Anolis sagrei: one gene and its partners. The protein of the gene in region 1 purifies or fractionates together with the protein of each later gene. This does not show direct contact. Links are inferred from orthologs where the notes say so. Each region holds a gene or a part of one and is shown in the gene's direction. Other genes may lie near its edges.

The links. Proteins that work in one complex are often made in the same cells at the same time.
Region 2: the proteins of ANKRD28 (region 1) and ARHGEF2 purify together in Homo sapiens (affinity purification with mass spectrometry; 3 studies listed by BioGRID and IntAct, with this or other methods). This does not show direct contact. The link is inferred for Anolis sagrei from reciprocal best matches to the Homo sapiens genes ANKRD28 and ARHGEF2.
Region 3: the proteins of ANKRD28 (region 1) and PPP6R1 purify together in Homo sapiens (co-immunoprecipitation; 4 studies listed by BioGRID and IntAct, with this or other methods). This does not show direct contact. The link is inferred for Anolis sagrei from reciprocal best matches to the Homo sapiens genes ANKRD28 and PPP6R1.

The regions. Positions count from the first base shown.
Region 1 is NC_090026.1:89,313,801-89,324,497, forward strand, and holds the start of ANKRD28 (serine/threonine-protein phosphatase 6 regulatory ankyrin repeat subunit A), read left to right. Parts: upstream 1-5,249; 5' UTR 5,250-6,708; coding exon 6,709-6,825; intron 6,826-7,697; coding exon 7,698-7,781; intron 7,782-10,697. UniProt on the Homo sapiens protein: Regulatory subunit of protein phosphatase 6 (PP6) that may be involved in the recognition of phosphoprotein substrates. Involved in the PP6-mediated dephosphorylation of NFKBIE opposing its degradation in response to TNF-alpha.
Region 2 is NC_090032.1:20,908,505-20,919,198, reverse strand, and holds the start of ARHGEF2 (rho guanine nucleotide exchange factor 2), read left to right. Parts: upstream 1-5,977; 5' UTR 5,978-6,044; coding exon 6,045-6,187; intron 6,188-10,694. UniProt on the Homo sapiens protein: Activates Rho-GTPases by promoting the exchange of GDP for GTP.
Region 3 is NC_090026.1:20,851,451-20,862,181, forward strand, and holds the start of PPP6R1 (serine/threonine-protein phosphatase 6 regulatory subunit 1), read left to right. Parts: upstream 1-6,014; 5' UTR 6,015-6,208; intron 6,209-10,731. UniProt on the Homo sapiens protein: Regulatory subunit of protein phosphatase 6 (PP6). May function as a scaffolding PP6 subunit. Involved in the PP6-mediated dephosphorylation of NFKBIE opposing its degradation in response to TNF-alpha.

The DNA.
Region 1 (10,697 bases):
ATCCTTTTGAAATTACAAATATATGATGACTGTCATACTTGTCACATGAATTCTGGACACATCTTTGTGACTTTCTAGAATCTAGTGTTGATTTTTTATTATTCCAACATTCTTTCAGACAACTTCATTGACATAATATATGAGATTGTTGTATTATTTGTTTAATGTGGGGATCCTCGAACATTTTAAACAGAGGACCATGTCACGGTCCCTCAGACTGTTGTGGGGCCAGACTATTGTTTGAAAAAAATATGAACAAATTCCTATGCATTTCACTTTCTTATTTGTAGTGCAAAAAACCCATGAAGGAATAAAACAATATTTAAAATGCAAAACAATTTTAACCAGCATAAAGTTACCAGTATTTCAATGGGAAACCTGGGCCTGCTTTTGGCTGATGAGAAAGTCAAGTTAAGTAGGATTGCTGTTGTTGTGTGCCTTCAAGTTGTTGTGTGCCTTGAAGTTGTTTCAGATTTAGGAGATCCTAAGTTTAGGGTGGGGGCATGGTAAATGACCTTGTAGGGCCTTAATTTGAGGACCCCTGGTTTAATGTATTCATTATTTGTGAAATTAAGAACCCAGAGATGTATAGAATAGCACTTATGGACGGTCTATGTTACCACTTTGGGTAGAATGATACGTCAAAATTAAATGTGACATGCCTCTTTTTTATACTATTTAACATTTCAGTATGACCAGCTACTGTGACCTCTAATTGTCCTGCTGCATTAGATTTCATGTTTATCAAAGAGTTGTGGATTATATAGTGATACAAGTACATGTCAAGTCCACATAAGAAGTAGTTTCACATTTTAGCAAGATGATTTTATAACTAACTTTTCATCTTGGCTCTATGATCTAATATAAAATATAATGTGTTTGAATTCTGAAGCTTCTTTCAGAGACCTGCACACTGCAAACCAGCAGATAATATAGTATAGCTGGGTCACAGAGTAAGAACTCTTTAAAACAATCTGGGAAATTAATACAATATCTACCTACTTGTAACATTTTTCCTACCCCTGAGTTATAGACTTAGCAATACAACAGTCATGTGAGAACACAGTGCAGTCATTCCTTACTTTTAAATTTCTTCAGAAGCTCTGTGATTGCTGCGGTATTTGTACTTGCAGTGCTGATTTTCTTATAGTACTAGCATACAAATTATTCTGTAATTCTTATCTTTTTTTTTCTCTACAAGAAAGTATAAAGTAGTGTTAGATGTTCATATTTGTACATTACAGAGTTTCAAAATTGTTTAACATACCCCTCTAATGAAGTATGAACTATATTAATTTTTAAAAAATCTGCCTATGATAGATCACATATGAGGAACTTTCTATTGAGATATTACCTTCATTTAGGAAATAGTATATAGCTTACACATGGCTAATTGACCTGTTTTTGTCATGGGTCAATTAGCCCGTGAGAAAAACAAGCTAATTGTGGTCCTGTGCAACACATTGAGGGAAGTTGACCTTCTTTTTGTGAAATCCCAACAAAGGATTTTGTTGGATTAAATTCTTGTTTTGTACCATTTTTGCACCTGATATGAGAAGTTAGTATTGTTACATGTATGACTGCAAAATATTGCTGTCAAGTTGGGTTTGTTAGCTGCTTTTGGTTTCCATGTGTTTAATGTTCTGTCCCATTCACTATTCTGTTAATGTAAAATTATTCGCAAGAATTCACATAACAAATATTTGTGACTTACTTTATTTCATTTTATGTTATCCTACATTTAATAAATAGGAAGTAAATAGTATACAGTTATGTGGAACTTTCTTCTGAGTAATTGTGATTAAGATCCAGTTTAGTTGTATTGTTGTTCTTGTACATTTGAAAGTAGATTTCCCCTTTTCCAAAATCCATATAACATTTTTCAACAATAGTTTGTCTCTTTGGTATCCATTTTACCATATCGTCTAAGAATAATGTATTTCTTATAATTTCCTTCTCAATTTGTAATTAAAGGGTGTTGACTGGAAATTTCATTTTCAATGGTCAAAATTTTAAACCTATAGGAAAGAGGGAGTTCAGTATTACAGATTATTGTGATTTGTGATTGATTGCTTGTGATGAAGTACAAATGCCTTGATATTAGAATTTTTTCCTTTCTTGTGTGTGGGTGGGGGGGGGGGTGGAATAGGGAGGTGATGCCAGAAGGATGGAGAAACTGTGAGGTCCTCTTGTGTGGGTGGTAGTAGCATTTCTCTAAATCCCAGCTGTCTCCAAGGAAACCTACAGTGCCATTCAGAGACAAATGTATATTGCACATTGATGTTACATGTTTTATGCCTTGGTACATACTAATTAAGTACATTTTTTGCTGCCTGTGATCCTTTAGGCTTCTTAGTTGTTAAGAACTAATACATCTGAGAAAATCTCCCAGGAGATAGTTGATTTAAGAAGCAATGTTGATGGGTATGAATGGACTAAAAGAGCTTGTAGTTTTAGAAACAGGATCTTTAAGAAAAGTAGATGAGAAGGAGTGGAAGAGACAGCTTGGGGCAGAAGAGGGTGCCAAAAATAAGCTCTCCCATGCATACGGAAAGCAGACATGATCTTGTCAAATTCTATGATAGCTACAATTGGCTAACAGCTGCTGTCGTTAGTTTTATTGGTTTTTCCACCTTCAAATGTATAGAATTAAGTCCATATGGTAATTTCCATGTGACGTATGAGCATAGTCTGTCATCTATTTATATGTTTATATGGGTGGGTAGCAACAGTATCAGCTTAAATGGCCAGGTATATATGATCCTGCTTTTCTTTAGAGATATTCTTCTCAGATATGGTAAGTTTGAATCAGACCCCATGAGCAATATCTGTTTTTAAAATTTTATTAGAATGCAGAATACACTTTTGACAAAGCATTTAATATATATGTAATTGAGTTATGAGGCATTTTAAACTGACATTTCTGTATTTGAAATCTTTCCAAAGCAAGATTCAAAATTAGAAGTGCTTTCATTTACAATTCATTCTGATAGCTATCTAAAACATCATGTTTAGAAGACATCGTGCTACTGGCAAAACATTTTTAAAAGAAATTTCTTAAGCAAGGTATGAAACTAAGATAAATGTCTAATTTGTACATTCATTTTACAACGTACTTTCAGAGAATGGAACCTAGTGTATATGAGTCTACTTTCCCCTTTTTATCCTCACAACAACCCTGTGTGATAGGTTAAAGTAAGAACTGATCAGTGCTAACCAATAAGCTTTATATACGAGTTTTGTCTCTCATAGTAAAGCTACACTGGCCTTGGCACACCTTTAGCACAAACAGATTCAATTTATCATTGAATATTCATAGAGTATAAGGCTTCTTCTGAATGTGCTTTTGACCCCCCCCCTTTTTTTTCTTTAACCTCTTCCCTCTAGGCAGGGCCTGCTCTGCCATGAGTCCCAGTTACCTCAGGGTTTGTTTGTTTTTGTTTTGTTTTTTGTTTTTGTCGTGTCAGGAGCGACTTGAGGAACTACAAGTTGCTTCTGGTGTGAGAGAATTGGCTGTGCAAGAACGTTGCGCAGGGGATGCTCAGATGATTTTTGATCTTTTTATCATCCTTGTGAGAGGCTTCTCTCATGTTCCCGCATGAGGAGCTGGAGCTGATAGAGGGAGCTCATCCGCCTCTCCCCGGATTCGAACCCACTGCACCACCGGGGACTCCTAGTTACCTCGGGTGATTGGGTGGCAAATTTGCCCTTTTGTGCCACAGCAAGGCTCAGGGTTCAGATCCATGCAGCTCTCTATATATGGTCACAGACAAAAAAGATGGTTGTGGCTGACTCCTCAGCCACCTTAAGCAACCACCTGTAGAGGCAGAAGAAACAGAAGTCTGCTATATTACCACTTCACCATCATCCAAAAAAAATTGGAAGCAGCAGAATCTCCATAGCTGTTAACAACTTGTTATTTTTTGAGGAGGTGGTCTGGATGCCCTTCAATTATGCCTTTGACCCCCCCCCCCCTTTTGGGGGGGAATCTTCCTATATGTGTAGGCTTGGGAGTTTCAGTTCCATTATATCTGAAACAGGGAGCTCTGACTTAATATTAGTTTATTAACCAGGCTCAGGAGCCATGTTTTGATCCTGGTTCAAAATTCTACTCCTCTTTAAATGTAATAAAAAACTGGTTTAAATAGGTGAGGTTTGAAGTATTAAATGTGTATATGAAGGAGTGAATTGAGTGAAGTGCATGGGAGCCACATGGTTGTCTTAATAAAACAAAAAACAAAAAAACTTCATTGTGAATTGAGCCTCTATGTTCAGTGTGTCTTGTTCCCAATTAAGTATGAATAAGATTACAGACTTAATGCAACTAGGGCCCAATATTCAGTGCATTATTTTAGTTTCACTGAAATAAGTGACATTAAATTACAAGAAAACAAGTGAGGGCTATAAATGTTAGAATATGGTTTCTAACATTAAAAATCATAAGATTAGTACATCTGTATCACTTATTTTTTAATATGGAATTCCTTCTGAAATGTAAATGTTACAATATATTTTGGTTATTTTTAAATGAAGAATTTAGAAAAATCAGGGTTAGGTTAGTAAGAAGTACCGATAGCTGAAATGTTGATACATAATCTGCAATACTGTATCCTAATATCCAAAACAATTGACAAGGTCCTTGCAGTCCTCCATTTCTAATTTTTTTTTTCTTTTATGCTTTGAAATTCTGCTAAGGGTTTTTTTTTTTACTAAGTTTTGAATGCTGTTTGTAATTTTGTTTTGTAACTCAAAATAAATTCAGTGGATGTACTAGGCTATTCAGTTTTGAATCAATAACATTTCCAGTGTTTTGAAAACATAAATAATAAAATCACAAATCACTTTTGCTCCTTGTTAGATTGAAATAAAAGCTGTAAATTCAACTTATTGGAAGACTTTTTCTCCATAAAACACATTTTTGTGTTTGTTAATGCTTCTTGCACAGCAGCAGTAATTATTTTGAGAAATAGGTATCCATTGGTTTTAGGGTACTGTCTCTTTAAATCCTTTGATGCTTAGTTTACTGTCATCAGTAAAGCTTCATGACTGTAGAGGGTTAAGTGAGGCAGTTCTGAAAAGACAGTACCATATGAAAGTACTTAAGGATTTGGAATTGTTATTTTCCTACACTGTTAGTCAGCAGTGCCAGTACACAAGTTTTCTTGTGGTTTTCAATGGAAAATGTAAAAGGCTGAAAAGAATTTCTACATTTGAATTGAATTAGTCATACGAAACTGGCATGGATATTCTCTGAGGGCTACCCAAAAGCGGCTTTCCCCCTCCCCCTCTACAGGAAGTTACATCCAGAGCAGTAGCTTCGGTTCTTTGCGAAGTGTAACATGTGAGCATTACTAGGCATTTCATCCTGCGGGTCTGCAGTCTGTGCTATAAAGACTATTGCTCTGTTGGAACACTGCTGCGGTGCTATTTTGTGCCCTGTTGACGTGATCTGCAATTACTTTTTAAGGCACTAGATTTTTATATGGTTTGCAGTAGCATCTACCGCACAGAAAATCTTTTATTGGTGACAGTATTTGGATTAAGAGAACATTTAACTTGAAGAACCAGCGGGCTGACATAGATGCAGATCTTCAAATAAAGAAGTTGGCTGAAAGACGATGTGTGGAACCTGAATTTCCTTTTTACCTCCTCTTTTTTTTTTTACATCGGTCTGAAGGAAGGCTATAATGGGAGCTCTATTCATACTGAGATCAAAAGAAGCATTCAAATGATGAACTACTTCTGAATGAAAAGTCTAAAGCAATAATTCAAGTGCTTGTGCTTTAGTATTTTGCTAAAGCTTTCGTCATTGCCAGCATTTATGCCTTGTGCGTTCCCTGTTGGATCAGCTCACGCAACGACGTGATGGTGGAAAACAAATATTCTGCATTTCTTTTTTGATGGATGGAGTAAAGCAGTCTTTGTTGCGGTCTGCTGGGGAATCTGGATCAAACAAGCAATATTATTATCCAAGTCTCATTGTCCTTTGTTGTCTGACTCATCACATGTAAATGTACTGCAGCTTAGTGGTACATACATTGCAGGGATTTGTACAAAGAGAAGAAATGTCATCATTGGAGCTCTATAATTCTGAATAGCTGCTGAGAACAGATTGCATTTCTCTGGTGAATTTCTGACAGTAAGAGAAATAAAATTGTTAGTTACAGAATTATGAACTGGAACACTTGGGACAGTCATGTATGCCTTTTATGGTAGAATACCTGCTACTGTTAACTGGGAACTGACCTTTCGGAAGTGGAGAAAGCTGTGATCATCTCTGCCAGAGCAATTGTCTTCTTGTTTCATTCTGTATAGAATGGTGTTATGTTGTCTATAACAATGATTTTACTGTTCAGAAATTCTATTCTGTAGAAATTTAACAGAATCAGCTGGCTTGGTAACAAGCATCAGCATATTTATATATACTATTGTAATTTATACTTTAATATTGGTTGAGCAAACAGTATTTTAGTACTTGAGTGCTATAAAGTAATAGAATTATTTTATAGATTTTTTGGGAAAACCTCATTAGCTGAATAACTCAGGTTACAGAATCTGGCAAATAAGAGGTCATTTAATTATATCACTTAAAGATTTCAGAACAGCAATAGTTATCACAAATTATGTTTAAAAAGACTTTCTATGTGGTGTTAGCTGTGATTAGAATAAGACCCTTACAAATCTAGTTTTCATCTTCAAACGGATCGAATGAGTCGCGTATGTATTGTTGTTTTGGAGGAGGTGGAAGATGATTCTCCCACATTTGTTTCCAAACTGCCTCAGGAAAGCATATCTCTACACCCTTCACCTCCAGCACATGGCTTGGTAAGAAGCTTCTGTTAAATATGCCCTATTTGTAATTGTGATTTAAAGCTCAAATGATTTTTACCATAAATATATGTGAATATAGAAAGTGTACCTAATATTATGCTTAAATAGTGAACATAAAGTAGTGTTCTCCTGGGTCTAACTGCAATCCTGATGAATGACACATATTTTTAGATTTTTTTAAAAATATTCTATTTTCTGGCCATTGTTTTCAAAAACTACAGTATCAAAACAGCATGTCTCCTACCTGCTGCTGGATATAAATTGATTCCTATGATCTTTGGCTTGTTTTATGAATTCATGTAATATACTCTGTAATAAAGTGTTTTGTTCTTAAAATTCAGTAGAAGAACATAGCTCATGTGATGCAGGGCTGCTATTTCACCTTGATTGTTTTTGGTAAACCTTTTTTTGGCATTTATTAAAATTGGATTGTTCCCTTGTGGAATTGGGCAGGGGGAGGGGTTAGCATATGGAGGTATTTTTAGATATAAGGACATATTTCCTCCATCTATTCAGATGTTCTGATTTTTCTTGCTGTTTTATATGATTAAAAAAACTGACTAAACAGTTTTATATGTTGTTTCTTTGAAAGTAATCATTATGCATTCTTCAAAATGTAACCCACTAATGTCAGATACTTTCCCCCTGTGGCAATATGCAGCATTACCTCTTCATAAAATGTTTCTTTTTATTTTATCTAGGAAATTGCTGCAACTGTTTAAGCAGAAACCTATTTTATAAAGATGTATTTGACAAATTTTATTTGTGATACCATTTTTGAGCTGTTCGGGTTTTAATGCCCGATATAACAACAACTACAACACTTATTTTGAAATTAAAACATTCCTTTTGGTTTTATATTTCAGCCCCCACTAGTTCAAGCTATATTTAATGGGGACCCTGATGAGGTTCGTGCACTGATTTTTAAGAAGGAAGATGTCAACTTTCAGGTAAAAAGAGATTATACAGTTATATACAAATGTAATGTAATTTTGTTACATTAAAGCTCTCATTTGTGATTCTTTGGAATCTTTGTAATATTTTTGTTTCTAAAATAACCAAAGGAAATGCTTCTTTTGATCTTGCTAAAATTGTTGCAAAAATTCTTCAATTTTTTTAAAGAAATTTAATCATTCTGGACATATTGTAGTTCCAGAAAGTTGCTATTCCAAATATGGTTTCACTTTATGGCTTTAATCAATATGTACCTATTTGTAATGCGTACATCAGTGGTAACATTTCAGTCATGTCCATATTACCCATTTAATAAAGACAAGGTGCTTTCTGTGGGAGGAAGGAACAGTTCAAATATTGATGTTGTCAGTCTTATGGCCACTAAGAAAACTCCCAGTATTCTTTCATAAAGCTAAATTCTATGCATCATTACAGCCATATCCATGCAATTATTTTTGACAGCGTGGTAGTCTTGATCAGTTAATATTTATTGGTCTACAAGTCTACTCAGACATAGGCCTCATTTTGTTTAGTGGGAGTTTCAGGAAAATATATTTAGATTATAGGCTTAGTCTGGAAATGTCAAAGACATATGATTTTAACTACTAACCAAATATTTAGTGTGTGAGTTTAACCAGGTATTATTCTGAATTTGTCAGGGAAACCATTTCGGAAAACAAAATGAGGGAATGTTGTCTTAAGTAGCAGGTTTTAAAAAATGTACATTTGTTAAGATGGAGTAGGCAAGTAAGTTTGCGTTGTTGGCTGCAGCTTTGAAAATGGGTTAGGCCCATGTGTTTCATTAGAAGTGAACTTCAAAAAAATCCAGGGAAATCAGAGGAAATGAAACTGGTGGAATTGAATTAAAAATATGCACATATACATGCTTAATTGTTTGACCAAATTAATATTCCTTGGTTTAAGGGCCACAGAATCCTATTTTATTAGTGGAAAGAATTTTGTGACTGTACAGGGTGTGTATTATATATTTCCCTTCCAGGTGCATCCCTCTGTGCCATGTCAAATCCTGTTCTAGTGGGCCTCTTGACCTTTAAGGCTAGCTCTTGGCATATGGAGATGCAAGGAGCTGCAGTAAGAAGGGAAGCTGGAAAAGCCCCCAGGCGCATATGTTATTTTTCATGCAGCTCTTTGACTGTTGTGTCTGTTCAAGAATATCAGACATCTGATGTTGTGCTGTGGCTCTAGTAAAATAATAGTTTATTCTTTTGTTAAAGTTGGCATTTGTTTGTTTCACTTGCAGTTCATAACTCTATTGTATTTCAGTTGTAATTGCTTCATATCATTCACACAGTAGTAAGGAATTACAGAATGTTGACATGGGACAATGGATGAAGTTGGCTATGGACAACTTTGGATGGGTAGCCTCAGCTGATGTAGCTTATGGAGAGGCAAATTTTCGTTTTGCTGCCTATGTTATAGTCATACCCATTATGCATGTTGTGCAATTATATTAAAAGACAGTGTTTTGGGGCATTGTATAAACATCAGTCTGTAGAACAAATGCATTAGTAACTCATAGAAAAAGGAGACCTTTCTAAATATAAACACTTTATTATCAACTTAGTGTTTCTCTCTCAAACATGAAAATTGATTTTTTAGAAGATTATGATAAACCAGTTAGTCACATCCGACTAAATGTAGTTCTGGCTTGTGAAAATGTGTGCAGGATATTGCTTTGGCAAATAATAGATAGAAAGTAGATGGCTGTTTTTCTCCCCTCCCCATCCAAGATTTCACAAATGTATAGTTAGTACCACACATTTTCCAGTTCCACTTTTGTGAATTTGACTACTTGTAGAGTTTATTAATATATTCTCTTTGAATTTCCACTATGATTCCTAGAGAGATTATTTGTCTAGACATTTCTAGGTCATCCAGTGCAGTTCTGTCATCACTTTCCACCAGAGGTTGACTATAGAGTTGTGCTGGAGAATCTGGAGATTCCTGGAGAGATGTTCTCTCAGGTTAAAAAAAATAGTGCTTTTTTTTTTTAAATGGTTTTTCTACTTTTGTCGGAGTTCTGTGCCCCTAACCATAGTAATGTGGAGGAGTGATTGTATTACTAATCAGTGTCTTACAAATCTTTTCTAAGTACACAGGCATTATAGTAGTGTATATATAGTGAAGATATTCATGCAGTGCAATTTTTAAAATTCAATTTATCTATATTCAGAGATTCATTGAGGATTCTTTTAAACAGCAATTCTAATTTAGCTCAAGTTAATGGAATATGGTACTTCTGTCTAAAGATGTATAGGATTGTATTGTCAAACTAGATGATGTTATTCAAAAAGAATTCTGCTCATATTGATTTTCTTTTTGAGTAGATGTTTCTGTTTTTCTGGTCTTGATCAGCTCTCAATCACTGGTAGTTGCTGCATTGTTGGCAGAAGTTGATGTTTGTACTTTCTTATAGGTCCCTTTTGGGACATATGGCTGCCGCAATACTCGTCTAGTGATATTATCTTCTTATGTTCATGCTCATGTTTTTACCTTTCCATTTTTTGAAATGAATTCACAGATATTTTCAAATGTATTGTCAGGGGAAAGAAGTAATGTTTAAAAAATGACTGCTTCGTAACAAGGTTAGCTTTCCTGAAAGGATGTACAGCGAACCCTTGATATTTGCTGGAGTTAGAGTCACAGAACCATCAAGAAATTTGGGAAAAACCATAGATTAAAAATGCTGTTTTTTACCTGAGAGAACACCTCTCTAGGCATTGTGGATCCTCCAGTTCAACTCTAATTTCTGACAGACAGAAATTCTGCCAGACATTGACCACAGAATGGAGGATCAGTAAATGACTAGAGAAGTGTTCTGTCTGTGAATTTCTATGTTCTCCAGTGCAACTCTTGGGTCAAGCTGGAGGACACAGAGATTCCTAGATAGA
Region 2 (10,694 bases), on another chromosome or scaffold:
GTAGTTTGGCGGGTACAGTCTCAAAGCATTGAGCAGTGGCACGTCAAGTGATGCTTTGGGATCCTGGGAGTTGTAGTTTGGTGAGTACAGTCTCAAAGCAATGAGCCGTGGCACATCAAGTGATGCTTTGGGATCCTGGGAGTTGTAGTTTGGCAAGTGCGGTCTCAAAGCATTGAGCCATAGCCTGTCAAGTGGTGCTTTGGGATCCTGGGAGTTGTAGTTTGGTGAGTACAGTCTCAAAGCATTGAACCATTGCCTGTCAAGTGATGCTTTGGAATCCTGGGAGTTGTAGTCTGGTGAGTACAGTTTCAAAGCATCATCAAGCAATGCTTTGGGATCTTGGGAGTTGTAGTTTGGCGAGTACGGTCTCAAAGCATTGAACCATTGCCTGTCAAGTGATGCTTTGGGATCCTGGGAGTTGTAGTTTGGAAAGTACGGTCTCAAAGCATTGAGCCGTGGCATATCAAGTGATGCTTTGGGATCCTAGGAGTTGTAGTTTGGTGAGTACAGTCTCAAAGCAATGAGCCGTGGCACATCAAGTGATGCTTTGGGATCCTGGGAGTTGTAGTTTGGCGAGTACGGTCTCAAAGCATTGAACCATGGCCCGTCAATGCCCGTACTTTGCCAAACTACAACTCCCAGGATCCCAAAGCATCGCTTGACGTGCCACGGCTCAATGCTTGGAGACCGTACTCGCCAAACTACAACTCCCAAGATCCCAAAGCATTGAGCCGTGGCACGTCAAGTGATGCTTTGGGATCCTGGGAGTTGTAGTTTGGTGAGTACAGTCTCAAAGCATTGAGCCATGGCATATCAAGCGATGCTTTGGGATCCTGGCAGTTGCAGTTTGGTGAGTACAGTCTCAAGGCATTGAGCCGTGGCATATCAAGTGATGCTTTGGGATCCTGGGAGTTGTAGTTTGGTGAGTATGGTCTCAAAGCATTGAACCATGGCCTGTCAATGCCCATACTTGCCAAACTACAACTCCCAGGATCCCAAAGCATCGCTTGACGTGCCATGGCTCAATGCTTGGAGACCGTACTTGCCAAACTACAACTCCCAAGATCCCAAAGCATTGAGCCGTGGCACGTCAAGTGATGCTTTGGGATCCTGGGAGTTGTAGTTTGGCGAGCATGGCCTCAAAGCATTGAGCCGTGGCCTGTCAAGTGATGCTTTGGGATCCTGGGAGTTGCAGTTTGGCGAGTACGGTCTCAAAGCACCATCAAGCGATGCTTTGGGATCCTGGGAGTTGTAGTGTGGCGAGTACAGTCTCAAAGCATTGACCCCTAGCATGTCAAGCAATTCTTTGGGATCCTGGGAGTTGTAATTTGGTGAGTACGGTCTCAAAGCATTGAGCCGTGGCATGTCAAGCGATGCTTTGGAATCCTGGGAGTTGCAGTTTGGCAAGTACAAGCAACAACTCCTAGGATCGCAAAGTATTGCTTGATGTGCCACGGCTCAATGCTTTGGGATCCTGGGAATTGTAGTTTGGCGAGTACGGTCTCAAAACATCATCAAGCGATGCTTTGGGATCCTGGGAGTTATAGTTTGGCAAGTACGGTCTCAAAGCATTGAGCAGTGGCACGCCAAGCGATGCTTTGGGATCCTGGGAATTGTAGTTTGGCGAGTACGGTCTCAAAGCATTGAGCCATGGCCTGTCAAGTGATGCTTTGGGATCCTGGGATTTGCAGTTTGGCAAGTATAGTCTCAAAGTATCATCAAGCGATGCTTTGGGATCCTGGGAGTTGTAGTTTGGTGAGTACGGTCTCAAAGCATTGAGCCGTGGCACATCAAGTGATGCTTTGGGATCCTGGGAGTTGTAGTTTAACAAGTACAGGCAAGTACAGCCTTTGAGACCGTACTTGCCAAACTACAACTCCCAGGATCCCAAAGCATCACTTGACGTGCCACAGCTCAATGCTTTGGGATCCTGGGAGTTGTAGTTTGGTGAGGACGGTCTCCAAGCATTGAGCCATGGCACGTCAAGCGATGCTTTGGGATCCTGGGAGTTGTAGTTTGGCAAGTACGGGCATTGAAATCTTGGAAACGGGGAGAAATGTTGTTATCATTCATCTTTATTGCTATTTTCTATTGCTTTTGCTGGATTTGACCCCACTGGTTCCATGCTCTGGCATCCTGGGAGTTGTCGTTTGGCCGAAGACCTTGCAAAACTACAATTTCCCAGGCTTGGCGGCCGGTTCGGGTCACCTTTGCCCGCGTTCCCTTCCTCGGCTGGGTGGGACCGGGCTTTGCGCTGTTGTGTACACTTTCCCAAGGTTCCCATAGAAGCGTTTCCTCCCAAATCTGAGATCATTCCTCTTCTCCGAGCCTGACCTCATCCCAGATTGTTTCCTCTCTCTCTCTCGCTCTATTTTTGAATCAATCCTGAGAGTTGTAGTTTTATAAGGTCAGGAGAGTTGTAGTTTTATAAGGTCACTCTATTTGTTTACTACTTTGGTTACCCGGAGTTGCCCAGGCTATTTGAAAAAAAAAGTTAGTATATTAATTGTACCAAGTACATAAGGGTTTGTGGGTGAACTACAACTCCCATTATGCCAAGTTCACCCCCAAAAAACTCCTGTCATTTTGCTCCTGTTCTGAATCATCATGTAAATATCAGATATGCAGGATGTATTTTCATTCTTGGCACGGATACTCAATATGCCCAAATGTGGTGGAGTTTGGGGCTACGAGACCTTGAGTTTGGGAGTTGTAGTTCACCTACATCCAGAGAACACTGTGGACTCAAACAATGATGGATCTGGACCAGACTTGGCAAGGATACTCAATATGCCCAAATGTGAACACTGGTGGAGTTTGGGGCAATTAGACCTTGACATTTGGGAGTTGTAGTTGCTGGGATTTATAGTTCACCTAGAATCAAAGAGCATTCTGAACTCCACCAACAATGGAATTGAACCAAACTTGGCACACAAAACTCTCATCACCAGCAGACAATACTGGGAGAGTTTGGTAGGCATTGACCTTGGGTTTGGGAGTTGTAGTTCACCTACATCCAGAGACTCAAACAGTGACGGATCTGGACCAAACATGGCTCGGACACTCAATATGCCCAAATGTGAACACTGGTGGAGTTTGGAGAAAATAGACCTTGACATTTGGGAGTTGTACTTGCTGGGATTTATAGTTCACCTACAATCAAAGAGCATTCTGAACTCCACTGATAATGGAATTGAACCAAACTTGGCAGACAGAACTCCTATGACCAAGAGGAAACACTAGATGGGTTTGATGGGCATTGACCTTGAGTTTTGGAGTTGTAGTTCACTTACATCCAGAGAGCACTGTGGACTCAAACAATGATGGATCTGGACCAAACTTGGCATGGACACTCAATATTCCCAAATGTGAACACTGGTGGAGTTTGGAGAAAATAGACCTTGTCATTTGGGAGTTGTAGTTGCTGGGATTTCTAGTTTACCTACAATCAAGGAGCATTCTGAACTCCACCAACGATGGAATTGAACCAAACTTGGCACACAGAATTCCCACGACGAACAGAAAATACTGGGAGGGTTTGGTGGGCATTGACCTTGAGTTTGGGAGTTGTAGTTCACCTACATCCAGAGAGCACTGTGGACTCAAACAATGATGGATCTGGACCAAACTTGGCATGAATACTCAATATGCCCAAATGTGAACACTGGTGGAGTTTGGGGGAAATAGACCTTGACATTTGGGAGTTGTAGTTGCTGGGATTTATAGTTCACCTACAATCAAAGAGAGCACAGTGGAGCTGCTTTATTATGAGCATATTCCCAGTGAGTATCCTGTCTGCCTGGCCGGGCTCCATTGGTTCTTCTCTCCCTTTGGAAAGTTGGCTGTGCTGATTCTGCAAAAGATAAGCGGAGAGAAAGGAGGAAAGCACCAAAGGGAACATTGGGAGGAGTGAGTGGTGGAAAACCCAAACAGGATAGGAGCAAAGTCACGCCAGCGCTTCCCTTTCCTATCTTTTGGAAAGAGAAGCAAGGAAGGCTTGCAGAAGAGACGAGAGCGAAGAGCAGGTGAACCAAGCTGGGCAAGGCAAGGATTGGACCCGGAATCAAGGAGACCGGGATTTGAATGGGTCTCACTCCAGATTTATTCCAAACCCTATGGACTTGGAGTTGTTTAGTGTTATGTTGTTAGGACAACCTCGGTTGCCCGAGGGGCAGAAATTTTAATAGTGATATGTGTGGTGATATTTATGTTTATTTTTATATATATTTATATTTATTTATTTATTGTTTATTGTTTTGTATATATTTATATTTTTGTTTATATATATATATATATATATATATATATATATATATAATTTTTATATTTTTTGTATTTTTATATTTTTATTTATATATTTATATATAAATACATTTATTTATATTTTTAAATTTTATTTATAATTTTTTCTATTTTTTCTATTTTTCTATTTTTCTTTTTATATTTATATATATATTATTTTTATATTTTTTGTATTTTTATATTTTTATTTTTATATATATTTATTTATATTTTATATTTTTATATTTTTATTTTATTTATATATTCATATATAAATATTTTTATTCATATTTTAAAATTTTATTTATAATTTTTTCTATTTTTTCTGTTTTTTCTATTTTTCTATTTTCTATTTATATATATATATATATAACTTTTATATTTTTGTATTTTTATATTTTTATTTATATATATATTTATTTATATATTTATATTTTTATATTTATTTATATATTTATATATAAATATTTTTATTTATATTTTAAAATTTTATTTATAATTTTTTCTGTTTTTTCTGTTTTTCTATTTTTCTATTTTCTATTTATATTTTTTCTATTTATATTTTTCTATTATATATATTATATTTTATACATTTATTTATATTTTTCTATTTTCATATTTTTATTTATATATATTTATATATATTTATTTTTTATTATATTATTCTATTTTTTCTGTTTTTATTGTTATATTTTTTATATTTTTATATATATATTTATTTGTATTATACATTTTATATATTTATTTCTATTTTTCTATTTTTCTATATATATATATATATATATATATGTATATGTATATGTATATATATATGTATATATAGGTATTTTATAAATATATTTATTTATATATTATATTTTTATATATTTATTTCTATTTTTCTATTTTTATTTATATATTTATATTTTTATATTTTAATTATATTTTCCTATTTTTATATTTTTATTTTTATTTTTTATATTTATATATTTTTAGTTTAGATATATAATATTTTTATATATTTATTTATATTTTTCTATTTTCTATTTTTATTTATATATTTCTTTTTTTTAATTTTTTTATATTTATATTTTCTATTTTCTATTTTTATTTATATATTTCTTTTTTTTAATTTTTTTATATTTATATTTTCTATTTTCTATTTTTCTATTTTATTTATATTTTTCTATTTTTCTATTTTTATTTATATATTTATATATATTTATATATTTATATATTATTTATATTTTTCTTTTATTCTATTTTTCTATTCTTTATTTTTCTTTTTTTACATTTACATTTCTATGTTTCTATATTTCCATATTTTATATTTATTTATTTATATTTTATATTTTTATATATTTTATATTTTTTATTTTTATATATTTTTATATTTTTATTTATATATTCATATTTATTTGTGCTGGAGGATCTAGATGCATTTCGTCAGAGGTCGATGCACACTCCACTTGCTTCACAGCCAACGAAAGCTCTGCATATGCCAGCCACAGATGCAGGCGAAACGTCAGGAGAGAATGCATCAGGAGCATGGCCATACAGCCTGAAAAACTCACAACAACCCAGAACTAGAGATCCCTAAACAGCAAACCTTGCTAGGCATTAGCTGTGCTGGGAGACCTAGTGCACCCATTGATTTCCCCTTCTTCTCTTTCCAGCCTTCGGATGCTCCGCGAGGAATGAGTGGAGTCCCGGTCTCCCCGCTGGTCCTGAAGCAGCGCAGCCTCTCTGCGGTGGAGCCATGCGCCGTGGAGCCAGAAGAGGAGATGGGGGACGATGTGCAGTTTTTGGGGGTGCCAATGCGCTTGAGGGGCTGCGCCACCCCCTACGACGCTTTCCGACGGCACAGCTGGGAACCGGGCAAAGTGCTGGACGAGGATGACGACGACCCAGAATTCAATCAGAGAAGGTAAATCATTGCAACATGGATGTGGTTGTGGTAGGGCAGGACAGGTAGACTTGGACATGTGTGCCAAGTTTGGTCTTGGTCTGTCATTGGTGAGGGTCGCAGTGGTCTCAGGAAGTGAGTGAAGGGACCAAGTCCCATTGTCCATGTTCCATCCTTCTCCAGACTGCACCAAGATGTTGAGTGGGCACCTCAGCAAGCAAGAGTCCAAAAGTGGCAGGCTCAAACCCGGAATCTCTTGGAGTCAGCTAAACTGTATAATTTCTCCAGCGGTGTAGAGTGCAGTCATTGGTGAGGGTTGCAGCGATCGCAGTAAGTGAGTGAAGGAACTGCAAGTCCCATCGTCCATGTTCCATCGTTCTCCAAACCGCACCAGGATGTAGAGTTGGTCATGGGGGCTCTGTGTGCCAAGTTTGGTCTTGGTCAGTCATTGCTGAGGGTCACAGCGGTCGCAGGAAGTGAGTGAAGGTACTGCAAGTCCCATCGTCCATGTTCCATCATTCTCCAAAACACACCAGGATGTAGAGTTGGTCATGGAGGGGTCTGTTCTTGATCAGTCATTGGTGAGGGTTGCAGCAGTCTCAGGAAGTGAGTGAAGGTACTGCAAGTCCCATCGTCCATGTTCCATCGTCCTTCAAACCACCTCTGGATGTAGAGTTGGACATGAGGGGTCTGTGTGCCAAGTTTGGTCTTGGTCAGTCATTGGTGAGGGTCGCAGTGGTCGCAGGAAGTGAGTGAAGGTACTGTAAGTCCCATCGTCCATAGTCCATCGTCCTCCAAGCCACATCTGGATGTAGAGTTGGACATGAGGGGTCTGTGTGCCAAGTTTGGTCTTGGTCCGTCATTGGTGAGGGTCGCAGCGATCGCAGGAAGTGAGTGAAAGTACTGCAAGTCCCGTCGTCCATGTTCTATCATCCTCCAAACCACATCTGGATGTAGAGTTGGACATGGGGGGGGGGTCTGTGTGCCAAGTTTGGTCTTGGTCAGTCATTCGTGAGGGTCGCAGTGGTCTCAGAAAGTGAATGAAGGTACTGCAAGTCCCATCGTCCATGTTCCATCGTTCTCCAAACCGCACCAGGATGTAGAGTTGGTCATGGAGGGGTCTGTGTGCCAAGTTTGGTCTTTATCGGTCATTGGATTAGGGTTGCAGTTCATGGGCCTCTGTGTGCCAAGTTTGGTCTTTATCGGTCATTGGTGAGGGTCGCAGTGGTCGCAGGAAGTGAGTGAAGGAACTGCAAGTCCCATCATCCATGTTCCATCGTCCTTCAAACCACATCTGGATGTAGAGTTGGACATGGGGGGGTCTGTGTGCCAAGTTTGGTCTTGGTCAGTCATTGCTGAGGGTCACAGCGGTCGCAGGAAGTGAGTGAAGGTACTGCAAGTCCCATCGTCCATGTTCGATCGTCCTCCAAACCACACCTGGATGTAGAGTTGGACATGAGAGGTCTGTGTGCCAAGTTTGGTCTTGGTCCGTCATTGGTGAGAGTCGCAGTGGTCGCAGGAAGTGAGTGATGGAACTGGAAGTCCCATCATCCATGTTCCATTGTCCTTGAAACCGCACCATGATGTACAGTTGGTCATGGAGGGTCCTGTGTGCCAAGTTTGGTCTTGGTCCGTCATTAGTGAGGGTCGCAGTGGTCGCAGGAAGTGAGTGAAGGAACTGCAAGTCCCATCATCCATGTTCCATTGTCCTCCAAACCACACCAGGATGTAGAGTTGGTCGTGAGGGGTCTGTGTGCCAAGTTTGGTCTTGGTCCGTCATTGGTGAGGGTCGCAGCGGTCTCAGGAAGTGAGTGAAGGAACTGCAAGTCCCATCGTCCATGTTCCATCCTTCTCCAGACTGCACCGAGATGTTGAGTGGGTCATGGGGGCTCTGTGTGCCAACCTGTGATTTGTGGGGGCCACCGTGTTCTGTGGGAAGTGAACCGGGTGAAGGTACTACAAATCCCATCATCCACGGTCCATCCTCTCCCAGAGCGCAGTCTATTCAGCGCCTTCCAAGTCACCTCGTCTTCAATGTGCCCAGGAGGGAGTCTCTCATCTGGTCTCAGCGACTGATTGAGCTTCCGAGTTTCAGGCTGCCGCTTTTGGACTCTTGCTTGCACCTCAGCAAGCAAGAGTCCAAAAGTGGCAGGCTCAAACCCGGAACCTCCTGGAGTCAGCTAAACTGTATAATTTCTCCAGCGGTGTAGCGCTCTAATAGAGCTTCTCTCTATTAGAGCGACAACAAATACATATAAAACAGCGTAGTGGATACAGTTATCCTTCTGTATCCATAGAATTATATAGATTTTTTAAGAAATTGCAATTATGTACAGGCTGCATTAGATACAATATATATTTATAATTAAATACAATGACAGGCGCTGTCTTCATAGACTTGCCAGCTACTTGTGATACTATAAATCATTGCCTCCTCCTGAGAAAAACTTATAGTATCACAAAGGGAATCATAGGAAATCTGCTACAAAACAGGAGCTTTTTTGTTGAGTTCCATCCATCGTTGAGTTCCATCGCAGATGGCGAAAACAGAAGAACTGCCTGCTTTAGGGGAGCGTGCTTGCTCCATCAACGTTTATGATCTACACAAATGACCAGCCACTGCCAGAAGGGACAGAGAGTTTTCATCTATGCTGATGACGCCGCCATCACCGCTCAAGCAGAGAGCTTTGTAATGGCTGAAGAGAAGCTCTCCGAAGCTTTTAGTCAATGTTTCTCAACCTTTCCAATGCCTCTTAATACCGTTCCTCGTGTTTAACATGTACACAAATGACCAGCCACTGCCAGAAGGGACAGAGAGTTTAATATATGCTGACGATCTTGCCATCACCACCCAAGCTGAGAGCTTTGTAATGGCTGAACAGAAGCTCCCCAAAGCTTTAGGTCAGTGTTTCTCAATCTTCCTAATGCCTCTTAATACAGTTCCTCATGTTTAACATTGACACAAATGACCAGCCACTGCCAGAAGACACACAGAGTTTCATCTATGCTGATGACAGTGCCATCAACGCTCAAGCAGAGACCTTTGTAATGGTTCAACAGAAGCTCTCCAAAGCTTTAGATCAGTGTTTCTCAACCTTCCTAATGGCTCTTAATACAGTTCCTCATGTTTAACGTTTACACAAATGACCAGCCACTGCCAGAAGGGACAGAGAGTTCCATATATGCAGATGACGGTGTCATCACCGCTCAAACAGGGAGTTTTGAAATGGCTGAAGAGAAGCTCTCCGAAGCTTTTAGTCAATGTTTCTCAACCTTCCCAATGCCTCTTAATACCATTCCTCGTGTTTAACATGTACACAAATGACCAGCCACTGCCAGAAGGGATAGAGAGTTTTCATCTATGCTGATGACGCCGCCATCACTGCTCAAGCAGGGAGCTTTGAAATGGCTGAACAGAAGCTCTCCAAAGCTTTAGGTCAGTGTTTCTCAATTTTCCTAATGCCTCTTAATACAGTTCCTCGTGTTTAACATTGACACAAATGACCAACCACTGCCAGAAGGGACAGAGAGTTTTCATATATGCTGACGACAGTGCCATCACTGCCCAAACAGGGAGCTTTGAAATGGTTCAACAGAAGCTCTCCAAAGCTTTAGGTGCTCTTACTGCCTATTACAGGGAAAACCAGCTTGCTCCATCCATGTTAAACATTGACACAAATGACCAGAAGGGACAGAGAGTTTAATATACGCTGACGATCATGCCATCAACGCTCAATCAGGGAGCTTTGAAATGGTTCAACAGAAGCTCTCTGAAGCTTTAGTTGGTCTTACTGCCTATTACAGGGAAAACCAGCTTGTTTAATATTTATACAAATGACTTAGAAGGGACAGAGAGTTTAATATATGCTGACGATCATACCATCAACGCTCAAGCAGAGAGCTTTGAAATAAATGGCGGAACAGAAGCTCTCCGAAGCTTTAGGTGCTCTTACTGCCTATTACAGGGGAAACCAACTTGCTCCATCCATGTTTAACATTGACACAAATGACTAGAAGGGACAGAGAGTTTCATATACGCCGACGATCATGCCATCAACGCTCAAGCAGGGAGCTTAGAAATGGTGGAACAGAAGCTCTCCAAAGCTTTAGGTGCTCTTACTGCCTATTACAGGGAAAACCAGCTTGCTTCATCCATGTTTAACATTGACACAAATGACTAGAAGGGTCAGAGAGTTTAATATACGCTGACGATCATGCCATCAACGCTCAAACAAGGAGATTTGAAATGGTTCTGCAGAAGCTCTCCAAAGATTTAGGTGCTCTTGCTGCCTATTACAGGGAAAACCAGCTTGTTTAATATTTACAGAAATGACTAGAAGGGACAGAGAGTTTAATATATGCTGACGATCCTGCCATCAATGCTCAAGCAGAGAGCTTTGAAATGGTTCAACAGATGCTCTCCAAAGCTTTAGGTACTCTTACTGCCTCTTACAAGTTAAATCAGCTTGCTCCATCAATGTTTAATATTTACACAAATGACCAGAAGGGACAGAGAGTTTAATATACG
Region 3 (10,731 bases), about 68 Mb from region 1:
GAAGTCCAAAACACCTGGAGGTCCAAAGTTTGCCCATGCCTGATTTAAGGCATCACCTACATTGCTTTATTGCCTCTTCCTGGTTGCGATAGGTAAAAAGAGCTGATGTAATGTAATGGTTTGAGAGTTGCACTATGACTCTGAAGACCAGAGTTCGAATCCTTGCCCAGCCATGGAAAACCTCTGGGTAGCCTTGGGCAAGTGACATACTCTCAGCCTCAGAGGATGGCAAAAAACCGCTCTGAACAAATTGTGTCAAGAAAACCCCACAATAGGTTCACATAAGTTGGAAGCAAATTGGAGGCACACAGAACGGTAACTGAAGTGTTGGAAAGGTGATGAGAATCTCTTTTATTAAACGTAGGATGGGCCATCATCATTTCCAAAAGGACTTTCAGCATAATAAATTTTGGCCCTTCACCATTTCTCTAATGACTTTAAACATAACAGATTTTATACGTGCTAGATCCTGGACCATGTAAAAGTATGAACAAGAGGAGAAGAGCAACTAGAAACCAAAGGGTGTGTCTAGTAGATTCCTTTCATTAGAAAGGGTAGGCAATGCACTCTCTTATTACGAAACTTTCCTTTTCAAATTAGGTTTGATATACAGCTGGGGTAGGCACTGCTGTTGTTTCTGTCCCAGAAATGCCATCCTCCCTAAATTGTGTAGAACCTGTTGGGTGATTTATTCTCAATCCAGATGAACAAATATGAGCTATTTATTTATAATTATCCGCCTTCTACCTCCCTGCCCAAGGACTCAAGTTGGTTTGGCCTTTTATACTGGTTTATGATCTATTATATTTTATGGATTCGGGGTCCTTCTACACAGCCGTATAACCCAGAGTATCAAGCCAAATAATTCACAACTGGGATACCTGAGGGCTCCTCCACACCCCCTATATCCCAGTATCTGATCCCACTGCCAGATAATCTGGAATGAACAGAAAACCTGGGATCAGATCCTAGGATATAGGACCTGTCTGGAAGGGCCCTGAGTCACACTGCATATAACCCAGTTCAAAAGCAGATGTGGGATTTTATTCAGCGGTGTGGAAGGGGCCTAAAATAACCCAGGACCCTTCCATGCAGCAATCCGGAGTATCGAGGCAGAATAACCCACAATATCTGTTTTGAACTGGAATATCTGAGTCCACACTGCCACATATCCCAGTTCAAAACAGATATTGTGGGTTATCTGCCTTTATATTCTGGGTTATATGGCAGAAGGGGCCTAATTTTAATTGAAGCCACATTAGCCTTATGGTGAATCCATTGACAAAGAATCTGCACAGAAGGCCCTCCATCTATCTATTTATCTAACTACCTATCTATTACATATAGCCTAAGGGCCTCATCACACTAGAGAAAAAATCCGCTTAAAATCTGGTTTCTGCCTCCTGCAGAATTCTAGGGTTTGTAGTTTAGGGAGGAGCCTCGTCAACTCTCAACCAATTCAACATAGTTGGTATTTATTTATCGTGTCAGGGGCAACCAGACTATTGTATTACATTTTTAATAGAACAAAACAAACAAACAGGTTAAAAAAACCCACAAAGTTTGCAAACTTGGTAGTTGATTAAATGTCCTTTGACCAGGTTGCAACAGCAAGAACAAACTACAGAACAACTAACTGTTTCAAGATTGGGAAAGGAATATGGCAGGGCTGTATACTCTCACCCAACCTATTCAACTTGTATGCAGAACGCATCATGCAACATGCAGGGCTTGACAAATCCAAGGATGGAAGTTAAAATTGCTGGGTGAATATTAACAACCTTAGATATGCAGATGATACCACTTTAATGGCTGAAAGCGAGGCGAAGCCGAACTCCTCCTCGCTTTCTAATCAAGGTGAAAGAATAAAGTGCAAAAGCTGGGTTGCAGTTAAACATAAAATAACCCAAGATGATGGCAATTAGATTGATTTGACAACTGTAAAACAGGGAGTAAATGTGGAGGCAGTGGCAGACTATATTTCTAGGTGCAAAGATTACTGCAGACGCAGACTGCAGCCAGGAAATCAGAAGACGTTTACTTCTTGGGAGGAGAGCAATGTCCAATCTCGATAAAATAGTGAAGAGTAGAGACATCACACTGACAACGAAGATCTGCATAGTCAAAGCAATGGTATTCCATGTAGTAACCTATGGATGTGAGAGCTGGACCATAGGGAAGGCTGAGTAAAGGACAATAGAGGCTTTTGAACTGTGGTGCTGGAGGAAAGTCCTGAGAGTGCCTAGGACCGTGAGAAGATCAAACGAGTCCACCCTCCAGGAAATAATGCCCGGCTGCTCACTGGAGGGAAGGATATTAGAGGCAAAGTTGAAGTACTTTGGCCACATAATGAGAAGACAAGAAAGCTTGGAGAAGATAATGATGCTGAGGAAAATGAGAGGAAAAAGGATGACAGGCCACCAAGGGTAAGATGGATGGATGGTATCCTTGAAGTGACTGGCTTTACTTTGAAGGAACTGGGGGTGGCCACAGCCAACAGGGAGCTTTGGTATGGGCTGGGAGGAGACATGATTGTTGTTTGTTCAGTCGTTTCTGACTCTTTGTGACCTCATGGACCAGCCCACGCCAGAGCTCCCTGTCAGCCGTCACCACCCCCAAATTCTTCAAGGTCAGTCCAGTCACTTCAAGGATGCCATCTATCCATCTTGCCCTTGGTCTGTCACTGTCACATTTTCTCCCTCTATTTCCCAGTTGTTAATCATTCTTGTTGCTATAATCTTGTTTTTTTTTTTAAATGTTTAGCTGCAACCCAGCTTTTGCATTTTCTTCTTTCACCTTGATTAAAAGGCTCCTCAGTTCCTCCTCGCTTTTGACCATCAAAGTGGTGTCATCTGCATATCTAAGGTTGTTAATGTTTCTTCCAGCAATTTTAATCCCAGCCTTGCATTCGTCAAGCCCCGCACATCGCATGATGTGTTCTGCATACAAGTTGAATAGGTTGGAGGAGAGTATACAACCCTGCCATACACCTTTCCCAATCTTGAACCAGTCTGTTGTTCCATGGTCAGTTCTTACTGTTGCTAATTGGTCCTTATACATGATAAAGGTAAAGGTTGTCCCCTGACATTAAGTCCAGTCGTGTCCGACTCTGGACTTGCCCAATCTTGAACCAGTCTGTTGTTCCATGGTCAGTTCTTACTGTTGCTAATTGGTCCTTATACATGATAAAGGTAAAGGTAAAGGTTGTCCCCTGACATTAAGTCCAGTCGTGTCCGACTCTGGGGTGTGGTGCTCATCTCCATTTCTAAGCCGAAGAGCCAACGTCGTCCGTAGACACCTCCAAGGTCATGTGGCCAGCATGACTGCATGGAGCGCTGTTACCTTCCCGCCGGGGCGGTACCTATTGATCTACTCACATTTGCATGTTTTCGAACTGCTAGGTTGGCAGAAGCTGGGGCTGACAGCGGAAGCTTACACCGCTCCCCGGATTCGAACCTGCAACCTTTCGGTCAACAAGTTTAGCAGCTCAGTGCTTTAACCCACTGCGCCACCGGGGCTCCGGTGATACATGATAGCCATGTATAAATAAGTGAGAGCAAGTCATAGGAAGGAGGGAGCAAACTTGTTTTCTGCTTCCCTGGAGACTAGGACGCAGAACAATGGCTTCAAAGTACCGAAAAGAGATTCCACCTGAACATTAGGAAGAACTTCCTAACTGTGAGAGCTGTTCAGAAATGGAACTCTCTGCCCCAGAGTGTGGAGGAGGCTCCTTCTTGGGAGGCTTTTAAGCAGAGGCTGGATGGCCATCTGTCGGGGTGCTTTGAATGCAATTTTCCTGCTTCTTAGCAGGGGGTTGGACTGGATGGCCCATGAGGTCTCTTCCAACTCTATGATTCTCTATGAAGTCATGAAGAGCCAGAAATTATTGAACAAATACACAATGGCTGTGTGGAAGGGCCTACATTTCAACAAGCAATAATACTCTGAGACTATCCTGAGTGATTTGAACTACAACTTTTCTAAATGTGAAACCAAGAGGAGCTGCATTGGATTTTATGGGGCTTTGTGATTGATAAAGGCTACAGAGCTAGAAGACACACTGTTACAGCGCTATTTTTCTACTTTATCTGCAGGATAACTGATAGTTCCCTCCTAATGAATTCAACCTGCTTTGAATCCAGGGAAAGTACGCAAGCAAGCGCTCAAAATCCACCTAAAAATGAGCTAGGCCAAGAAGATAGGCCCAGCGCATGCGCAACAGATTTTCTTAGTCCCTCCATCGGCGGGAAGAAGGAAAGACGAGAAGGAATTCGACGCATGCGCAGATGCTCTCCCTAGTCTTTACTTCAATTCCCAGAATTCCTAAAATTTGGTCCTGCTGGCTGGTGGTACTCTTGGAAACTGGAGTTCAATGTCCTGTAGAACCACTGGCCTTTGGGGGAAAAGGAGGAGAAGGATGAACCAAGGAGAAGCCAAGCGAGAATTCTGAAAATGGAGAGAGGGAGCCCGACGCATGCGCAACTAATTCCCCTAAGTCGGAGGGAGGCTGATTCCCGTCGGACTCCCATTCCTAAGCCTCCCTCATTCCTGACTTAGAGGAATTCGTTGCGCATGCGCCGGACTTCCAGTCCTCTACCAGGAGTCCGACGCATGCGCAACTAATTCCCTAAATCAGAAATGAGGCTGAGGAAAGGGAGTCTGACGCATGCGCAGCTAATTCCCCTAAGTCAGGAATGAGGGAGTCTGAGGAAAGGGAGTCCGACGCATGCGCAGCTAATTCCCCTAAATCAGGAATGAGGGAGTCTGAGGAAAGGGAGTCTGAGGAAAGGGAGTCTGACGCATGCGCAGCTAATTCCCCTAAGTCAGGATATATTTTTTGTCGTGTCAGGAGCGACCTGAGAAACTGCAAGTCGCTTCTGGTGTGAGAGAATTGGCCGTCCACAAGGACCTTGCCCTGGGGACGCCTGGATTGATTTGATGTTTTTATCATCCTTGTGGGAGGCTTCTCTCATGTCCCCGCATGAGGAGCTGGAGCTGATAGAGGGAGCTCATCCGCCTCTCCCCGGATTCGAACCTGCGACCTGTCAGTCTTCAGTCCTGCCGGCACAGGGGCTTAACCCACTGCGCCACCGGGGGGGGGGGGGGCTCCGACGCATGCGCAGCTAATTCCCCCAAATCAGAAATGAGGCTGAGGAAAGGGAGTCCGACGCATGCGCAGCTAATTCCCCGAAGTCAGGAATGTGGGAGGATGAGGAAAGGGAATTTGACGCATGCGCAGCTAATTCCTCGAAGTCAGGAAGGAGGGAGGCTGAGGAATGGGAGTCTGACGCATGCGCAGCTAATTCCCCTAAGTCAGGAATGACAAGAGGCTGAGGAAAGGGAGTCCTCCCCTAAATCAGGAATAAGGGATGCTGAAGAAAGGGAGTCTCACGCATGCGCAGTTAATTCCCCTAAGTCGGGAATGAGGGAGGCTGAGGAAAGGGAGTCCGACGCATGCGCAGGTAATTCCCCTAAATCAGGAATGAGGGATGTTGAAGAATGGGAGTCCGACGCATGCGCAGCTAATTCCCCTAAGTTAGGAATGAGGTAGGCTGAGGAAAGGGAGTCCGGCGCATGCGCAACTGGTCTCCCTCTTCTTTTAGGGAGTCATATGTCCAAAACAGATTGTTAGGAATTGTGACAGTTGAAGTCCGAAACACCAGGAGGGGCGAGGTTTGCCCATGCCTGGTCTAGGGTAACTCCCAGGTATTTTGGCGGGTGGGCTTAAATACAGAAAATGGAAGGTGAAGAGAGTAAGCCCGCGCATGCGCAACTCATCCCCGTTCGTCCCTCAATCGGCGGGGGTGAGGGAATCCGAATGACGCATGCGCAGTTTGCGCTTCCTACTCTTTTTACTACATTTCCCAGATATCTCAACCCTTTGCCTCAGCGCTTTGGTCTTCTGGGAGTTGAAGTCTTAAAGGTTGGGAGCCAATCGCATTGGAGAAAGGGGGAGGAGGAGGGGGCGGGGCCAAGCCTGAGGGGAAAGAAGCGCGAAGAGGAGGAGGAGGAGGAAACGGCGAGTCGGCCGCTGGGAGGCGCGCGCGCGCGGGGGATTGTGGGATCGCGGCGGTGAAGGGAGGAAAAAAAAAAGTGGAGCGCGAGCCAGCGAAAGAGCCGCCCCCCTCCCTCCCTCCTTCTTCCTTCCTTCCTTCGCAAGAGAAGAAGAAGAAGAAGACTGGGGCAGGACGAAGGGGGCTCGAGCCCGGTGAGAGAGAGAGAGAGAAAGAGGGGGAAAGGGGCTGGCGGTGGAGGGGAAGGGAAGGGGGGAAGGAGAGAGAGGGAGGGAAGGCCTGCGCCTCTCAGGGACTGAGGGGAGCTGTGTGTGTGTGACAAGGAAGGGAGCTGCCGCCATTTTGGAGCTCCCTCTGGGAGACCCTCCCCCGGAATAGCGCCCCCTCCCCCACAGGCGTGATCTTTGCCCTTTCCTTCCTTCCTTCCTTCTCCTCATCCTTCCTGTCCAGGCCCAGCTCTTTGGCCTGTGGGTAGCCCTTCCTTCTTCCATGCCTTCATCTTTTATATATGGTTGTAATCCCCAAGTTACCAAAAAGATAGGCTTTGTAGCTTTGCTCTGAAGTTAAATTTGGATGCAAGTCGGAACAGGTACATTTTAAAAGTGTCACTCCTGCCAAATATATAATAATGATAATGATAACTGGGTGCCGTGCCAAAAGATCTCAGCCGGCATTTAGAAACAATAAACATTGACAAAATCACGATCTGTCAATTGCAAAAGGCCACCTTACTTGGATCTAATATATAATAATAATAATAATAATAATAATAATTGGGATCTCGGCCAGCATTTGGAAACAATAAACATTGACAAAATCACGATCTGTCAATTGCAAAAGGCCACCTTACTTGGATCTAATATAATAATAATAATAATAATAATAATAACTGGGATCTCAGCCGGCATTTGGAAACAATAAACATTGACAAAATCACGATCTGTCAATTGCAAAAGGCCACCTTACTTGGATCTAATATATAATAATAATAATAATAATAATAATAGCTGGGTGCCGTGCCAAAAGATCTCAGCCGGCATTTGGAAACAATAAACATTGACAAAATCACGATCTGTCAATTGCAAAAGGCCACCTTACTTGGATCTAATATATAATAATAATAATAATAGCTGGGTGCCATGCCAAAAGATCTCAGCCGGCATTTGTAAACAATAAACATTGACAAAATCACGATCTGTCAATTGCAAAAGGCCACCTTACTTGGATCTGCACGCATCATTTGAAAATACATAATAATAATAATAATAATAATAATAATAATAAAACTTTGTTTATATACTGCTCTATCTCCCCGAGGGGACTCGGAGCAGCTCCCAGGTAACATCTCAAAACATACAAAGTAAAACGACATAACCATAAGATTAACAAAACAATATAAGCATTAAAACATCACACAGTCCTAGACACTTGGGAAGTGTTCGACTTGTGATTTTGTGATATGAAATCCAGCATATAGATCTCGTTTACTGTGACATACTGTGATGTCAGTAAAATATTATTATTATTATTAATAATAGAAAACTGGAAAAAGCTGACCTGATATGAGGATTTAAAGATCGAACTGCAAAGACTCTGGCACAAGGTGGTCCCAGTGGTGATTGGCACACTGGGTGCAGTGCCTAAAGACCTTGACCTGCACTTAAACACAATTGGCGCTGACAAAATTACCATCTGTCAGCTACAAAAGGCCACCTTACTGGGATCTGCATGCATTATTCACCGATACATCACACAGTCCTAGACACTTGGGAAGTGTCCAACATGTGATCCAATACAACAGCCAGCAGATGTCTGCTGTGGACTCATCATGTTGTGTTACAAATAATAATAATAATAATAATAATAAGGTAAAACAATAAATGTAATAATAATAATAATAACAACAACAGAGTAAAATAATTAATAACTGACTTGAGTATAAGTCACCGATACATCACACAGTCCTAGACACTTGGGAAGTGTCTGACGTGTGATCCAATACAACAGCCAGCAGAGTGATCTTGTTTGCTGTGGACTCGTCTTGTTGTGTTTCAAATAATAATAATAATAATAATAATAATTAATGTTTGGCAAAAGTATGATAGCTGGGACCCAATGCCGAGAAAGCGCAGCAAGTGAGAGATGCAGGTACGACAGTCGTGGCAACATAGTTCACCAGAAAAGGGGGGGGGGGGTCAGTAAACAGCCAAGCATAGTGCTTAAGGCTATATAGACATCGTATGCAAACACGTTCAAATGCTTAACATCTTCGCTTCTCTAAGTCTGACCTGCATCGCGCAAACAGCATTGGGTCCCAGCTATCATACTTTTGCCATGTTTGTTTATATCCCGCTTTTTCTCACCATGCAGAGACTCAAAGCGGCTCACAATACCACTTCAAATATATAAATAGTAAAACAGTATTAAACATTATGTTGTCAAAGGCTTTCGTGGCAAGAATCATTGGGTTGCTGTGAGTTTGAGAAGCCCTATACGCTTTGGGTTCAACCTATCTTTGTGACAGCATCTCTTTCTATGAACCAGCACTGGCTCTGAGATTGACATGGGAGGACCTTCTCTTGGTCTCACCTTCATCTCAAGCATGGTTAGTGGGGATAAGAGAGAGGGCCTTCCCTGTGGTGGCCCCCTGGCTCTGGAATACCCTCCCAAAAGAGATTAGATTAGCCCTCCTCTTCAGTCCTTCCATTCCAGTCTGAATAGGCCCATATGAAGCTGACCCATGGCACCTTGTGAATTGACACAATTTCCCATATGAATATGATGCTATGGTATTGCAAGTTAAAAACAAAATAAAACAAAGGAGTTATTAAATATCAAAAGACACTTGTTGACTTTTGATATTTATATCAGGCATGGGCAAACATTGGGCATCCAAGTGTTTTGTACTTCTGGCTGTTAGGAATTCTGAGATTTGAAGTGCAAAACACCTGGAGGGCCCATGCCTTATATATACATGTATACATACATACATGTATACACATACAGGTTTCTCCAAAAGTTGCCATACATAGGGAAAATGGAAAATTGTAGCTACATTTATTAACAAAATAATATTAATTACAAAATATTACAAAACCCTTCCAATATTTTATATATATATATATACTATTAAGAATATGTAATATAATGTAAAATATAATCTGAGTTTGTTACTTTTTCCTATGTACTGAGATTTTGGGGATAATCCATATATATTATATGTGAAACAGGCACATAGACAGTAAGAAAAATAAAATAATGCACTGCAAACTACATTACAATACTATATAAAAAGACATTGTCTTGTATTTCTCAGCCTAGTGCAAGCTGTCAGGTGTGTTTTTCTATAAAAGTGTTTTAAACTCCCCTTTAAATGTAAGTGGGCAGCTTTGCTAAGTGGAATGTCAAAACTGGTTGGAGAGCATGGGGGCACTTGCTCACTAACTAGAAAGGCAGAGGAGTTGACAGAATCAAATTTTAAAAATTATGCAGATTACAGGAAAAGATCAGTTTGATCAGAACTGAAGTGTTATTGGCCGAACAGTTCACAAGCCTAGTGCTTTAAAAAAAATAAAGCGAGTCACTGCCTTCTGTTCTCTCAAACACATAAGGTTTTTGTGGCATCATAATATGCTTAATTAAAAGGATACTCTAATTTAACACATTTCCTTATAAAGTATGTATTTTAATGTGCTTCTTCACACACTGCTGTACATTTTTGTTCAGTTTGATTAGCTGACAAAATAATATCCTTTTATATGCAGGGCCTTGAATGTTAGCTTCTCAGGTTCTGAATGTTTGCTGCCCAATATCTAATTCCTTCCAATTCCTTCCCGTTCTAATTCTTTCCACACCCCAGAAGAACCATTCTTTTATCTTATACCTACTGAATCACCCACTGATATTTATTCTGTTGCTTCTTATGTTGTGCAGAATAATTGCTACCTTAGTTAGTGATGTTCTCAAAAAAGTGACCTGGCTTAGAGTTCAAATATGCATTTAAAGTGCAGGTGAAAACATCTCGTCTTATTATATAACACTTTTTACCTGCCCTTTTGTACACAACAGGAAGGTTAAAGTGTGTTAATGGATAAACTGACCTCTGATTGACTGAGTACACATGGACCACTAATATTTCGCTGCTGACTTTGTTTAACCCAAAGATCTTAGCTTTCTTTTCACAGGTGTGTCCCCAAAAGACCTGATCCCTCAGTCATTTCCCCCCTTGCATCCCCAATTATGTGGTTATTATGTTCACTGATGGCTCCCATATTTTCTGCAGTGTATCCGTTTTGTACCATAACCTTTCCCCTAAGTGGCAGATACCTGACTAATATTGAATTCAGCTTCACCAAATTCCGTGTGTGGTTCGTAATCGCCAAGGCTATGTTTGGTGAGCCTGAGAACGATGTTCCTCATCTTGCTTGTGGATAGAAGCTGGTTGTTGTCCTCTGGTTCTGAGTTTGCATTTGTCCCGTCATGCTAACTTTCATTATGATGTCTGTTTGAAAATGAGTGTGTGAAGGTGAATATGTTTTCAGACTTAGATGGGGGAGTTGCATAGACTATCTCTTTATTTTTGGAGGTTGGTGCAGAACACTGGTGAGTGAGACTGATTTTGTGTTTGAATGTTGGAAGAGCAGGCGGATTTTGTGCTTACATCCCAAGATTAGCTGCTTAGCATTTGGGGATCAAGAAGGGACTGTGACTGGTGAAT